2 linked regions of the Diceros bicornis minor genome follow. The protein of the gene in region 1 purifies or fractionates together with the protein of each later gene. This does not show direct contact. Links are inferred from orthologs where the notes say so. Each region holds a gene or a part of one and is shown in the gene's direction. Other genes may lie near its edges.

Evidence for each region.
Region 2: the proteins of EIF2AK2 (region 1) and ZNF346 purify together in Homo sapiens (affinity purification with mass spectrometry; 3 studies listed by BioGRID and IntAct, with this or other methods). This does not show direct contact. The link is inferred for Diceros bicornis minor from reciprocal best matches to the Homo sapiens genes EIF2AK2 and ZNF346.

What each region holds. Positions count from the first base shown.
Region 1 is NC_080751.1:46,995,182-47,002,407, forward strand, and holds the start of EIF2AK2 (interferon-induced, double-stranded RNA-activated protein kinase), read left to right. Parts: upstream 1-4,207; 5' UTR 4,208-4,403; intron 4,404-7,226.
Region 2 is NC_080740.1:90,263,515-90,271,573, forward strand, and holds the start of ZNF346 (zinc finger protein 346), read left to right. Parts: upstream 1-5,056; 5' UTR 5,057-5,106; coding exon 5,107-5,281; intron 5,282-8,059.

The sequences.
Region 1 (7,226 bases):
AACTAAATTGAAAGGACTCAAATAAAATTACAAATGAAAGAAGAGACATTACAACTGATAACATAGAAATACTAAGGATTGTTAGAAACTACTATGAACAATTATATGCCAACAAATTAGATAACCTAGGAGAAATGGATAAATTCCTAGAAACATACCACCTACCAAGACTGAATAATGAAGAAACAGGAAATCTGAACAGACCAATTACTAATAAAGAGATTGAATCAGTAATCAAAAACCTCCCAGCAATGAAAAGTCCATGATCAGGTGGTTTCACTGATGAATTCTACCAAACATGTAAAGAATTAATACCAATCCTTCTCAAAATCTTCCCAAAAATTGAAGAGGAGGAAACACTTCCAACCTCATTTAATGAAGCCAGCATTACCCTGATACCAAAGCCAGACAAGGGTACTACAAGAAAAGAAAATTATAGTCAATATCTCTGTTGAACATACATGCAAAAATCCTTAACAAAATATTAGCAAACCAAATTCAACAATACATTAAAAGGATCATACACCAGGGTCAAGTGGGATTCATTCCAGGGATGCAAGGATGGTAGAACATATGTGAATCAATAAATGTGATACACCACATTAACAAAATGAAGGATAAAAATCATATGATAATCTCAACAGATGCAGAAAAGGCATTTGACAAAATTCAACATCTTTCATGATAAAAACTCTAAACAAAGTACATCATTGTGTTTCTAGCACAGTGCTGCACATAGTAGGCACTCAATAAATATTTATTGAATAAATTAATGAGATTTTTTTTCCAAGAAGGTTTTTTTAGAATATCAGATCAGTTAGGATGCTTTTGATGCAGCAAACAGAAAATCAAACACAAATTGGTTTATAGTAGAAAGGAAAAGAGGTAGAGGGCTCTTATCACTGACCAGTCTAGGATGAGTCTGGCTTCAGGTGAGGCTTGATCCAGAGCTCAAGCAAGGATCTGATTCTTAATCTTCACTTCTCAACTTTATTCCCTCAGCGTAGGCTCCATTTTCAGGGCGGTTTCTCCTTGTTCAGTACTAGAAACAGAAACCACTGTAAGTATGTCAAGCAGAAAGATTTAGTAGGAAATGAACACATAATTGTTAGAAGGGATGGCAGAATGGAAATCAGGAGACTTCCAGTGTAGCTGCCATCCAAAGTTCAAGACCCTGCCACTGCCACTGCTGCCATCACTGCTGCCACCACAGATGCCCCATACCCTTGGAGAACTGAGAAGGGTAGCTGGAGTCCTGCTCCTGCAAACACCCCTGGGCCTGAGAGCTTGCCTGTCAGCCCGTTCTGTCACAGAAAGATGGCCTTCTCTTCCTTTCTGTCTTCCAAATCTTGCACCACTGCTCATCAGTCATTGGCAGAATTCAAATTATATCTCGAATTTTAACTCCCTAGAAATCTGGAAAATGTGGTTTTAACCTTCCACACATTATAACCCAGGAGATGAGGAGACACAGAAGGGAGTGAGAATGGAAACTAAATAAAAATTAACAGTATCTAATATAGTCCACCCCTTTTACCAATAATCTTTCAAGCAAATGACAAAACTATTCTCCCACCTAATGAAGCTGTTCCCTCCTTCAAATGAAAACATGCTTATCCTATCCCCTAAATCTCGATACTCATTTCTACATGATGTCCCTTCCTCTTCTATTTTAGTCACAATCCCACCTTCAAACACTCTTACCTAAAGACTATCTTATAAAATGAACCACCATCAACAAATCTCATGTAAAAGGAAAGGGAAAAACAATCAAAAGAAGTTCATTAATACATATAAAAACAAAGCAGGAAGAAAAAATGTGTAGGTTCTATGGTCCTTTATTCTTCAACTGGTCATGAGACCATAGTCAGTTATAACTTCCTTATTTATTGTTCCCTTTGCCCTCACACACCTGCCCAGCTGGTAGAGTGACACAAACCTTCAATCCTGAAGCATCTGAGCCCTTAACAGTCTGGCCTGTGTTGGACAGCTGTAGATTTCCACTAACATTTATCATTGAACATGGAATTACTAAAAAGAACCTCAGAGAAACCCCTGGTTTGAAGACATACTCGTCCCTGACAGCACTGTGGCTGCATCACTATTTTCTCTTGGTAATTCGTATCAGTCAGCCCAGCCAGTTTGGTAACCCCCTTATTTTCCTTTTTTTTTTTTAATTATTTATTTATTTATTTATTTCCCCCCCCTCAAAGCCCCAGTAGCTAGTTGTATGTCATAGTTGCACATCCTTCTAGTTGCTGCATGTGGGACACGGCCTCAGCATGGCCGGAGAAGCAGTGTGTCGGTGCGCGCCCGGGATCCGAACCTGGGCCGCCAGCAGCGGAGCACGTGCACTTAACCACTAAGCCACAGGGCTGGCCCAACCCCCTTATTTTCTTGATGGCTTGATGGCATGATGAACCTGCAACATCCAGAAGCAGTTTCACCCACATCATTTTCCCCAGACCTCCGTGTCACCAACCCTCTGATCTTGTTCCTTCCAAATCTCTGAATATCCAGCTAAATTGCTAGCCACTGGTTCTGTCCAAGCCACTGGCTTTCTCTCCTTCCAAGTGACAACTAAATGTACTGCTCAAAGTTTTGCCCACTGGGAGGATTGCCTTTCTCCCACTATCTTTTAGGGCCACCTCCCAGAGGGGCTATAGTAATACATCAATCCACTTCTGATTAATGCCAGTGTATTGTGCTTCATTCAGATTTTTCTTTCTCAATCATCTGGCCACAGGCAACTCCACATGAGTTCACAGATGCGGGCTGATAGAGCAGGAGGGAGTGCCATGGGGATCTTAGATATTGCCATAATCACCACTGAAATCAGGGAGCTTTTTTCAATGGCAGCATCTCCCATAGACATTCCCCACCTACAGTGGCTGCCCAAGGACGCTGATGTTCCCCACTCCAATGTATTTCTCAACGAGTGGTGCAGGAGGGTCCTCTGGATCTTCTTGGGGGACATAGATAGGGAGTGAATGAATAGGTTACACACGATTAAAGATGGCTCTGCCTCCTGCCTGCCTTCCAAACCTCCCACCAGTGCTTCACATTTTGGGAGCTTAAATCATGCCCCAGGACCTGAGTGCTTCAAGGGAAATATAGTTTTTAGCCATTGATACTCTGCAATAGCAGAGAATATAGCAGAGAAGTAGGAAAGGATGCCCAGAGCTAGTGCCCAACAGTTAATGTATAGTTGAGGTCCATCCCGGGACCACCTCTCTCCCTCACCTCAGCTAAGATGTTGAGGGTGCTGACTCCTGGTTCTAAATCTAGCTCTGCCGCTTACTAGCTGTGTTAGTTAACTTCTCTGAGCCTCAGGCCTCAATTTTCTCATCTGTTAAATGGGCATAGTAACAGCACCTACCTTGCAGTATTGTTGTGAGCTAAGTCCTCAGACTCCTCAATCGCTGTGTCAGTGAGCCAGTATTACTGTGGGAGTGTGTCATAGTCCATTAGGTGAGTAGGATTTCTTAAAAACCGAGGACTACTGGTAAAGTCTTTGGTCGTAAACTCCATGAGGTGCCGCAGGGAGCAGGTGGCTTGCGTAACTGCTGGCCTGGGCGGTACTTGGTACAGCGGCTGGCAAGTAACTGGATGGATGGGTGGATACAGATTGAAGAAAGATTATGCCCTCTGGCCTCTTCATCCCCAGCCTTGTCAATGTGACGACAGGGAGGGGTGCTTTGATGTGCAGGGCCCTTCAATGGAATCCTGGCTTTGCCACTTTCCAGAGTCAGGACCCTGGGTGAGATAATTGACTCAGTTTCTGCTACTGTAAAATGGAGCCGATCATATCCACATCCCCAATCCCACCTCAAAGGTTTGCGTTGAAGAGGAAAGGGGATCGTTGATCCCAGAGCCCAGTTCAGCGAGCGAGCGCCTGGGGTGTCCTCCTCACCCTTGCCGGCACAGGGGCCAGTTACAACCCCAGACGCCGGGGTGGGGGCCGCCGGGTCCCGGGCACGTGGGCGCCGAGCCCGCCCCGCGGCCCGGGGCCAGTGCGGGCCTGTGCGGGAGGGGCGGGCGGCCGCAGCGGGAGGCGGAGTCCGCCGGGAAAACGAAACCGAGAGCGAGCGGCGCCGCTCCGGCCGGGCTTCCGCGGACAGCAGCGGCGCGGGTGAGCGGGCGGCAGCGGCGCGGGTGAGCGGGCGGCAGCGGCTGAGCGGGCGGCAGCGGCGCGGGTGAGCGGGCAGCGCCGGGGGCCGAGCGCGCGCCGTCCGCATCCCCAGACGCGTCCTGCGCGCCGGTGAGAGGCCCCCGACCCCCACCCGCAGCGCGCTCCGAGGCCCGCAGCCGAGGTGCAGGGCCCGTCCCGGATCTGGGCACCGGATCGTGCGGGGCAGTGGGAACCGAGAGCCGTTATCGTCCCGCGAAGCATTTTTATCCGAGTAAGTGACGAATAGCCCAGGCCCGGGTTGGGGGCGGGGGGGCTGGTGGAAAACAGATACGCCCTCTAACTTGACAGACAGATGGAAAATATGGAGGCCTGAATTACCCCCAAATTGCCTAAATAATCCCTAGCCAAAAATCTCTGGCCTGAACAGTAGCACTTGTCTCGCCATTCCCGGCCTTAGCCCCCGCCCGTTTCTGTAACCCGGCCCCCCAACACCGCAGCGGCCGGAGCGTTCCTGTAAAGCAGAACAGGACACTCCCCGGCTCACACCTCCCCAATAGCTTGCCATCTCGTCAGAATCCTATAAACGGTTATCGGCCCACAGGCAAGGCTCCTTGCTCCCTCCACTCTGACCACACAGGCCTCATTGCTGTTCTTGGGGTACAGCCAAGCACACTCCTGCCGCTGCGCCTTCGCACTGTCTGTTTCTTCTTCCCGGAAAGCTCTTCCCCCGGATGCCTGCAGGAGCCAGTCCCCCGCTCTAACCTGCGCTTCTTCCAGTGTCGCTTTATCAGAGCAGCCTTCCCTGAACCACCTGCATATAAAAGAAACCCCACCCTTCCCTCGCTGTCCCCGTTGCTCTGCTTTGGTTTTCAGCATGGTACTTAGCACCCTGTAGCATTTTTTATAGGCTTGTCCGTGTTCCTCCACTCGTAAATTCACAAGAGCAGGGTTTTGTTCGCTGGTATAATCCCGGCACCTAGTACATCACAGATGCTCATTAAATATTTATTTAATGAATGGCAATTCATAAATTGTCTTTTGAATTCTGGATTAGTGAGACTTCCTATTGCCTGTGATTTCTTTAGTATAAAGATACCTTGCCAGGTGGAAGCTAAAGGTGCACTCCCTGCTGTCACTCAGGAACCTAGAATCTTGGGCAGGTTATACTCTTGTTCTTCAGTTTGCTTATTTGAACCTGAAGATCCATAACACTCGACCTGTAGTTTATTCATCTCACTAATCAGGTACCGGTGGAATGTGTGTTGTATGCCAAGCATTGTGTAGGCCCTGGAGGGGCTGAGCCCCAGGGGGCTGCAGTCTGGCAGAAGGGATCAAGACTCCCAGCCAAAGTGGCTTCTGGGCATGAGTAAGATGGACATATAACACTTGTTTGTGATTATGGTGATTTCTTTTAGGAACATGGTAACACAGAATTAAAACAAGATTTATTTAAAATAGTTGAAAAGAAACCTACTGTTTCTTTTCTTCCAAACTTGTAAGTACTTTTTCAAACATACCAATTCAGCACCTTATTAGTTTACACATATATTTCACTTAGAGTCAGACTGGCTTGTCATTCTGATGATCAGCAGTTACTTAGAGTTAAAAGTGCTGAGGATTTAGAGCATTCGATAGGTCTTCAGGTTAAATAATTGCTAAGGACTCTTCCATAACTGCTGTTCTGAGATCTGTGACCCCCTCCAATTTGGTGTATGGTCTCATTGTTGTGACTAAACTGAATGACACTTTGGTTCCTGAAAATAATGGTGGTCTACGGAGCCTTATCTGAAACTCTTGGGTCAGGTATGTTCCTGTATTGAGAGATTTTTGGATTTTAGAAAGGCAGGGCAGCATAAATCCTATCTATTATATGATATTCTCAGCAGGATTTGGGGGCAACACTCTATAATAAAACACATTTCTGCAGGGAAGTGTATAGATAGACAACAAAGTATCATAAAGACTCTAAATAGCTCCTGTCAGTTCAGGTCTAGACAGGGGACTACAAACCCACTATAAACAAAATAAACCTCAGTTTATAGTGCTTTTTGGATTTCGAAATTATAGACCAGGAGCACCATTTATTGAAGCCAATGGTGTGGGGGACTCTGCTGGATGCTTTTCATCTGATTTACTCCTTGCAACAACCTGTGAATCACGTTTTCAGGTCACTAATCAAAGGTCCAGAGAGGATTTAGCCCAGGTCTGTGTGGCTCTAAAGCCTGACTCAGTCCACCACACTAGGCAGGAATGTGAAGGCGTTGCCTTTGCTCGGACTCCTGGCACTTCCAGACCCTGCTTCCAGCCACCACTGTTGCTCACCCAACCTCTGCAGCAGCCTCTACATGGTCTCCCTCCTTCTACTCATGCTCTGCTCCCCTTTCCACACCCAGCCCCGCATACTCTGTTCTTTACAAACATCAGTCATCGTTTAAAACATAAACCCAGTCACATCAGCCCTCTGTTTAGATCCCTCCAATAGCTTCCTATTGCAATTGGAGTAACATCCACAGTCCTGACCGTGACCTACAAGGTCTCTGTGCCGTGGCACCTGCCTGCCTTTCTGATTCATGTCCTACCCTTTCCTCCTCGTTACCTGTGCAGCACATCCCCTTGGCCTTTTTGTTATCCTTCCAAATGCTATGCCGGTTCCTGCCTCAGTGTTTCCTCTGCCTAAGATACTCTCCCCCAGATCTTGGTATGATGGACTCGCTCATCATTCAGGCTTGATTTCAGTGTTGCCTCCTAAGAAGGGTTTCCCCTGACCACTGTATCTAAAACCACTTCCCTCATATCTCTGCGCCCACCTACCAATGCACCCTCTATCCTGCACCCCTATTTAATTTCATCCTTCTGGTCATCCTCTCATCCTCTCCTTTGTTTGTTACTGGACGTGGTCATTTTCTTTCTTCCCTCGTTGGAATGCAGGTAGGGACTTGTTCACGTCTGTATACTCAATGTCAGAACAGTGCCTGACATTCGATGAGCATTTATTGAATGAGTGATGAAAGGATGCAAAGAAAACAGCAGATGAAGAAAAGGGAGAAGGTGAGGAGGTTTAAAGTGGAATATTTAATTTTAATGAATCATTTTC
Region 2 (8,059 bases), on another chromosome or scaffold:
AACAGGTCCCGAGGGTACAGCCGTCAAGAATGAGATCAGTGCCCTTATGAAAGAGACCCCAGAGATCTCCTTCACCACGTGAGGAAAGAGGGAGAAGAAGGCTGTCTATGAACCAGGAAGCAGGCCTTCACCAGACATCACATTTGCCGACGCCTTGATCTTGGACTTCCCAGCCTCCAGAACTGTGAGAAATAGTTGTTTAAGCCACTCAGTCAACGGTATTTTGTTATGGAAGCCCAAATACTACAGGCACATATGTAGTAGGCCCTAAATAAAGCCTGTTGATTTGATGTGACTCAAACTACTATGCCATTTCAAGATCTATACTGTTTCTTGGCAATCCTTCGGTAGAGATGACAAAGCTTCGTTGGATCATCTGAGTCCATTCTAGATTTCCTTGGATACATTAAACTAAACTAAATCACTCTGATCTATAATCAAATGCACAGATTATTAATTGAAACTGGTTCTAGAAATTATGGAGAAAAGTGGGATTTAGCTGATACAGTCTCTACTAAGATGGAGACTAGAATCTAACATCAATTTATTAAATTATCAGAAAAATATAGATTTCAGAATAAACTGGTAACAACCACAATTTACTATGTGCCAGGCAATATGCTAAGTAGTGTATGGAGATTATTTCAGTTCATCTTCACAACTACCATTTGAGGTGAGTATCATTTTCTCATTTTACAGATGAAGAAGTAGACTCACAAATGTTAAATAATTTACCTAAGGTCACATAGGTAATGAGTGCAGACTGGAGCAGCTGACGTCAAGCTGAGTACCTCAAGCTTTAACTGATGGCCTGTTTATCTCTCAGAGATTATTGTGGTTAATCCCCATCCTGCCTGCCTCAGACATCATTAGCATCTAAGACATCATGGCCATCCATCACACCTCATATGGTTCTGAACATCCACCCATCTGGCCCCAGGGGTGGCCCAGCAAGGTCTGGACTCACAGTCCCTGGGCTGCCACTAGCGTGATGAGAAGCAGCAGCCTTATCTGTTTTCTCTAATTTGCCAGACATGGTCATTTTCTAAGTAGACTGTGATATAGGAAAAGTTGGGAAGCTCTACTTGAATCTAGTCTAATCTTCCTCCTTCCCCTCTTTCTCAAAATCCTCTGGACATCCCAATCTATGATCAGCAAATTCATCTGTCCTGGGAAAGTTGCTGAATTAAAACCTGGCACCCCCTGAAAACACTGCTTCCCTACAGCCCTGAAGACACTATAAAATGAACTAGCCTGAGAAGGATTGCAGCAAAGATGTGCTCTCTCAGAGTGTGGCTTTTCCACGGTTTTCCTCAGGAACACCCCTGCTGTTTTGGATCAATCTCAGGTTCTGAGTCGAGCATCACTTGTTCACGTCCTGTTAGTAAAACCTAGTATATGGCCACTTCTAACAGCCAGAGATGTGTTCGTGGAGCTGAGAAGTAAAAAGCCTCATATGGAGTAACCCAGACACCATCACGATTCCCACAGCTGTGGCTTCGTTGTCCCACCCCATCCACACTAGCCTTAGTTGTTGTATTAATCATGTTTTTTATTTTCTGTATTTTATGATGCTTTGACATCTTGGGGCCTTATAGACTGGGATGGAAATGCCCCTCTCAGGGTTAGCTAATTCCTAGAGATAGCAAACAACTTACCTTCAAGCATACCTTTCATATGCAAACCAACCAATCCAAAACCAGTAGCCCCCAACCACCTCCTTTATCTAACTCTAACACACCAAGCCAATATTCCCTCTGCCTTACATCATCACCCGAGGGCCAGGTACCAGACAGCTGGGGACTACCCTATAGCCTGGAGCCCCACTGAAATTATCCAAACTAGCCAATCCTAAACTGCTTACCTTACCTCACCCATCACTTCCTGCAGAAACCACAATAAAGGCTCTGGGCCATGCTCTCCCCTCACTCCTTCTGCCTTCTGACCAACACTGTTACTTCTCCATATGGCCCTGCATGGCGTGGCGTGACCCTTTCTTTTGGGAACTGTGCATAATGAAAATTTCAATGACATTGAACTCCGGTGTTATCACTCAGTCACCTCTATAAATTAAATCCTGGGTATAATCAAAACAGTTGTCACTTCTATTATAGTGGGTAACATACTCTCTGATATTACGTATACAGTAGATACTTTCATCTCTAGAGTTTAATCTCCCTGAGAGCAGGAACTGTATTTTACTAAGCTCTGTAGCATGCTTTTGAGGGCACGCACACACACACACACGGAGTCAGCGTTTATTCAACTGAAATGTCTGTTGAACTGTGGCCAATTCCTGCTCCTTGGCAAAGTCATTTCCCTGAGATTGTGCTTCTCCCATAGCAACAATACACAGTAGAGTATGTTGGGAAGTGGTTCTCATTTTCCACAGGGAAGAAATAAAAAGCCAGCCCCACAAATACAAGGCATCACCTGTACTGTCAGGTCTCAGCAAGGAGTCCAGGCCTGGGCCATTACTGGAAGCACTTACATGAAGACAAAAGCAGAAAACTAGTGACAATAAGGGCTGTTCAGACACTCAGTGCTGTGGCTCAGGACTCTGCCTCAGTGGCACAGGGGACAAACCATGACTGTATTCACTGGAGAATAAATGGAAATTATTTTGAGCATCTAATTGGATTGAGAGTGGGGGGAGAGACTGTTTTCCAGTAACATGTACAGTATTTTAAGTACATACTCCACTCCCAGGATTTGCTCCATTGTGTTAAAAAATATCCTTGTGAATTCTCGGATTTTAACAAAAATGCCCTCTATCCCTTCGGATTTCTTGCTGAATAATTCATGCTATGCAAATATGGGTAACTAGAAATCTTCTTTGAGATAAATAGGTATAGTCATTGGCTTTTAGGATGGTCATCTGGTGTTTGCAAAAAGACATGGATTTGCAGTCTGAGGACCAGTGGTCAAGCATGGGCTCTGTCACTAATCACCTATACAACCCTGATAATACCTTTACCTGTCTCTGTTTCTTTTTTTTTTTTTTTTTTTTGGTGAGGAAGATTACCCCTGAGCTAACATCTGTTGCCAATCCTCCTCTTTTTGCTGAGGAGGATTGGCTCTGGGCTAACATCCGTGCCCATCTTCCTCTACTATATGTGGGACACCTGCCACAGCATAGCTTGATAAGCAGTGCATAGGTCCGCACCCGGGATCCGAACCTGCAAATCCCGGGCTGCCGAAGTGGAGCGCACGAACCCTACCACTTTGCCACCTGGCCGGACCTCTGTCTGTTTCTTTATTGTTAAATATGAAAGAATCCCTCATAGGAGAACTACCTTGAGAAATAAATGTTACAATGTCTGTTAAAGGTGCTTCATAAACTGTAAAGCACTACATAAACATTAGTCATCTATTGCATTGGAAGCTCCAGAGCCTGGCATAAGGCCTGACACAGAGCTGGTCCTCAATATTTGTGGTATAAGCTAGTAAATCCCACTGATGAGCCCTGTGATCTCAGGCAAGAAAAATCTCTGTCTCCATCTCTCTTTGGCCTTCTCTGATACCATTTTCTCCCATGTTTACTGGGTTTCAGCCATACTGTTCTTTTTCCTGTTCCTCCAACACAGCAAGCTCACTTCTGCCTCAGGGTTTTTGCACCTGCTGTTTCCTCTGCCTGGAACATTCTTCCCCAGCTCTTTGCATGGACATCCCCTTCTCATCAATCGGGGCTTAGGTCATATGTCTTTTCTTCAGAGGCTTTCTCTGACCACCCTACTGTTCCTTGCAAATCATTCATACAATATGTATTCCTGTTTTATTTTCTCCTTAGTACTTACTACTATCTATTGGCTTGTTTCTTACACTCTCCTCCACTCTACTAGGGCTTCCCTGTTGGTCTTATTCATCACTGTATTCCAATGCCCAAACGACATCTAGCTCATAGTAAACTCTCAATAAACACTTGAATTAATGATATTGAAATAAAATAATTATATTAAAAGCCTCATTTTATATATTACATATTTTGTATGTACCTATGAGGGTCCAGGCTCTACTTCAAGGTCCTGGGGATTCACCTGAGAACAAAATAGACAAAAATCCCTGCTTTCTTGGGACTTGCCTTCTAGTGGGGAGACAAACAATAAGCAAGATAAAAAGTAAAATATATGTCTGACAATGATAAGTGTTAAGGAGGAAAAAAAATAAAGTAGGAAAGGAGAACATGAAGTGTGTGTGGAGGGGTAAAATTTTAGATAGGGTAGCCAGAGAAGGAAATGAGAGACCGAGCCATGAGAATACTATATGGAGGAAATGCATTCCAGGAGGTCAGGGTAACTAGGACAGGAATGAAGGGGTTGGAGGCTAACACAATAGGAGATGAGGTCAGGGAGGTTAAGGGAAGTCAGATTGTGTAGGACCCTGTTGGCTAAACTAAGGACTTCGGCTTGTAGAACAGTGAGACAGTAAGGTGGGAGAATCTGAGCACCGGGGCGTCATGCATGATACGGCTTGTCACAATAGGATTGCTGGGGCTGCTGTGCTGAGAATACCTGATGGGCAAGGGAAGGGACCAGCGAGGACTCTACTACAATAATCTTGGCAAGAGACAGTGGCTGGGGGAGAAGTAGCTACGTTGGAGAGAAGTTGAGGGGCAGGTCTGGGCTGGGGATTAGCACCTGGAACTCAAATGTTATTTATGATTAGCAGTAACAGAATCATAGAGATGGAGTCTCTGCTCTACCACTTACTAGTAGCAAACTCTTGAGTAAACCATTTCTAGGTTCTGGGCCTCAGTTTCCCTACCAGTGAAATGGAGAAAATATTCCCACATAACAGGGCCTTCATGAGGACAAAATGAGAAGTGTCAACGGCTGACTGTGAGAACTCTGTGCCAAAGAACGCACGAGCCGGTCCCGAAAGGAAGGGTCGGCTGTGGAACCACCGACTGACTTGCAAAACCACAACACACGCTCGGAGGTCCCCACAGCAGCGAGTGAAAACAAGCTCCCAGCCCGACGCCGCAACGCGGTCTGAGAAGCCCAAACCTCGCGAGATTTGTTGGCCACGCTAAGTCCCTCTCCCACTCACATCTCGCGAGACCCAGACTCAAGAGTGGCCATCGGCCGGTTAGGGCTTGCGGGGAAGATGGAGTATCCCGCGTTGGGCACTGCGGAGGCTGCGGACAGCGGAGGGGCCCGGCTATACAACAGCTCGGAGGAGCGGGAGGGCCGGGAACCGGACGGGCTGCGCTTCGACCGTGAGAGGGCGCGTCGCCTGTGGGAAGCAGTGTCCGGGGCTCAACCAGTGGGGAGAGAGGAAGGTGAGTCCGGGGGCCTCAGAGGCAGGAAGCCCCCTCGTCTGCCTGCCCGTTTCGCCCGGAGTGGGGGAGGCGCGGGGCGGGAACGCGGGCCAGCCGCCGGGCCTCGGGGTCACACCTCCTGGCGCCCGGCCCGCCCCTTTGCGTGACGCGCCCCGGGACTCCCTGACTCGTGCAGCCTGTCAGGGCCTGGGCACCGTGGCCAGCTCCCCTGAAAATCGGGGCCGCGGGACCCCAAGATTCAGGCCTCCTCGCGCAGTGGGTCCAGGGCCTTCTCACGCTCGGGCCGCCTTCCTCACCCCCCGGAGAGCAGCTCTTCCTAAACGCGAGGACTGTCATCCTTGTCCACGCCTTCTCGGAGACCCACAGTGCCTTCCCCGCCAGACTTTCCCGGACTCGCCATCGTCCCAGTCTCCAGGTCCTCCCCACCGCTACTGCCTCTTGCCTCCCTTCTCTTATGCCCCACACATCCGAAGGCTCTGGAAAGCCTTCTCCTTACTCCCATGTTCCTCCTGGCCTAGGTGACTGAGCCCTGGTTCATCCCTGTTTCTAGGTGTCTGGTCTCTATTAGCTGGATCCCTTTTCTGAGATGGGGGTCAGGAACCTGAGAAACTGGCCAGGGTACTTGGGCTCCAGCTTCTTTGTATCCCACCCTTGACCCAAAGTTGTGGAGAACAGGATACACAAGGCTACCCTGGGGCGGGGCGGGGGTGGTGGGACACTTCTGGGCTGAAGCTTCCCAACTTGGTCCGCATTTGACCTGGCCCTGGCTAAGATGGAGATCGAAAGAGGAGGATGGAAAGAGCTGGCCCGACTTGGTTGTGTGACCCCCTTCACAGTCCTTAGCAGAGCTAGCTGTTTAACTCCAACCCAGAAGTACACAAACTGTCTGGGCTTCTGTGCTAATCCTGTCAGGTAATCTGCAGGGAAATCAGATTTCTCTAAGGTTTATTTCCTTGCTGAACAGACTAATCTTGAAAAGTTTAATATGTTGCTTGTGAATTCATTGCCCTGGGATAATATTGAATCTTTAACCACATCCAAGGAAGATATGTTTAAATTTTGGGTGGTACACAGACCTATACCATGGTATAGGTAAACTTCTCCAGTTTAAAAACTAGTCTAATCTGACTCCTAAATTAATGTGGGGCCCTGTGTCCCTCATACTTTCAAACTTGTTTGGTACAAAGTTCCCTCCTGCTCTCACAATTTTCCTTTCATTAATTTAACGTTCACTGATGCCTGCTCTCTTCCCAGGACTGGCTGGGCATCAGAGCCATGGAGATGAGGAAGATACTGTCCTTGCCCTGGAGGGGCATGTAGTCTAGTCCAGCAAGCAGGCACTAAAACAGTTTCAGTATAATGTAGTGGATGCGGTGAAGAGGAATGTCTAAGAGTTGGGGGTGCACAAAGAGGAAGTGACTTTTGTTCTTAGGGGACAGGGAAAGCATGCTCTGGACCTTGAAGTAGGGAATACAGCAGCTATGCTCTGAAGAGTGAATTGTTTATGTGTGTATGAATGTACAGTGTCACTTGCCACCCAGTTCATTTCCCTACCCTCCTCACTTCTCCAATGTTTATATGAGGTTTAGGTAGATACCTCTAACACCCAAGTTCTACTCATCTTGTTTTTTTTTGTGTGTGTGTGTGAGGAAGATCAGCCCAGAGCTAACATCTGCCAATCCTCCTCTTTTTGTTGAGGAAGACTGGCCCTGGGCTAACATCCGTGCCCATCTTCCTCCACTTTATATGGGACGCCACCACAGCATGGCCTGACAAGCGGTGCGTCGGTGTGCGCCCGGGATCCGAACCGGTGAACCCTGGGCCGCCGCACTTAACCGCTTGCGCCACCAGGCGGGCCCCCTCATCTTGGTTTTTTTTTTTTCCTCTAAGCACTTTCATTGAGTTAAAATTTACGTACCATAAAATTCACCCATGGTAACTGTACAATTCAGTGATTTTTAGTAAAAGTGCAGAGTTGTGTAGCCACAATCCAGTTTTAGAATATTTCCATCATGGGGGCCAGCCCCGTGGAGTAGCAGTTAAGTACGCGCGCTCTGCTGCTGGCAGCCCGGGTTTGGATCTCAGGCGCGCACTGAGGCGCCACTTGTCAGGGCATGCGGTGGCGGCGTCCCTTATAAAGTGGAGGAAGATAGGCGTAGATGTTAGCCCAGGGCCAGTCTTCTTCAGCAAAAAGAGGAGGATTAGCATGGGTGTTAGTTCAGGGCTGATCTTCCTCACACACGCAAGAAAAAGAATATTTCCATCACTTTAGTTAGTTCCTTTTATACTCCTTTACATTAAATCCCCACTCCTACCTTCTGCCCTAGGCAACCACTGATCTGTTTTCTGTCTCTATAAATTTACTTTTCCTGGACATTTTCATATAAACAGAATCATTCAGCATGTAGTCTTTTGCATTTGACTTCTCTGACTCAGCATGTTTTTGAAGTTCAGCCAAGTTGAAGTGTGTATTAGTATAATGTAGTGTGTAGTGTGTATTCCATTGTATGCACCTTAGTTTTTTATCCCCTGACAGTCTCTGTCTTTTGAGTGGCTCTTTATACTATTCACACTTTAATTATTGACATGGCTAATTTGCATTTTCCATTTTGCTATTTATCTCCTTTCTGTTTTGTTCTTCTCATCCTCCTTTATTGGCTTCTTTTGTGTTAAGTATTTTTTAGTGTACCATTTTAGTTCCTCTGTTGACTTTTTTTTTTTTACTTTTTTTAAGTTATTTTCTTAGTGGTGCTCCAGGGACTACAAGATGCATCTTAA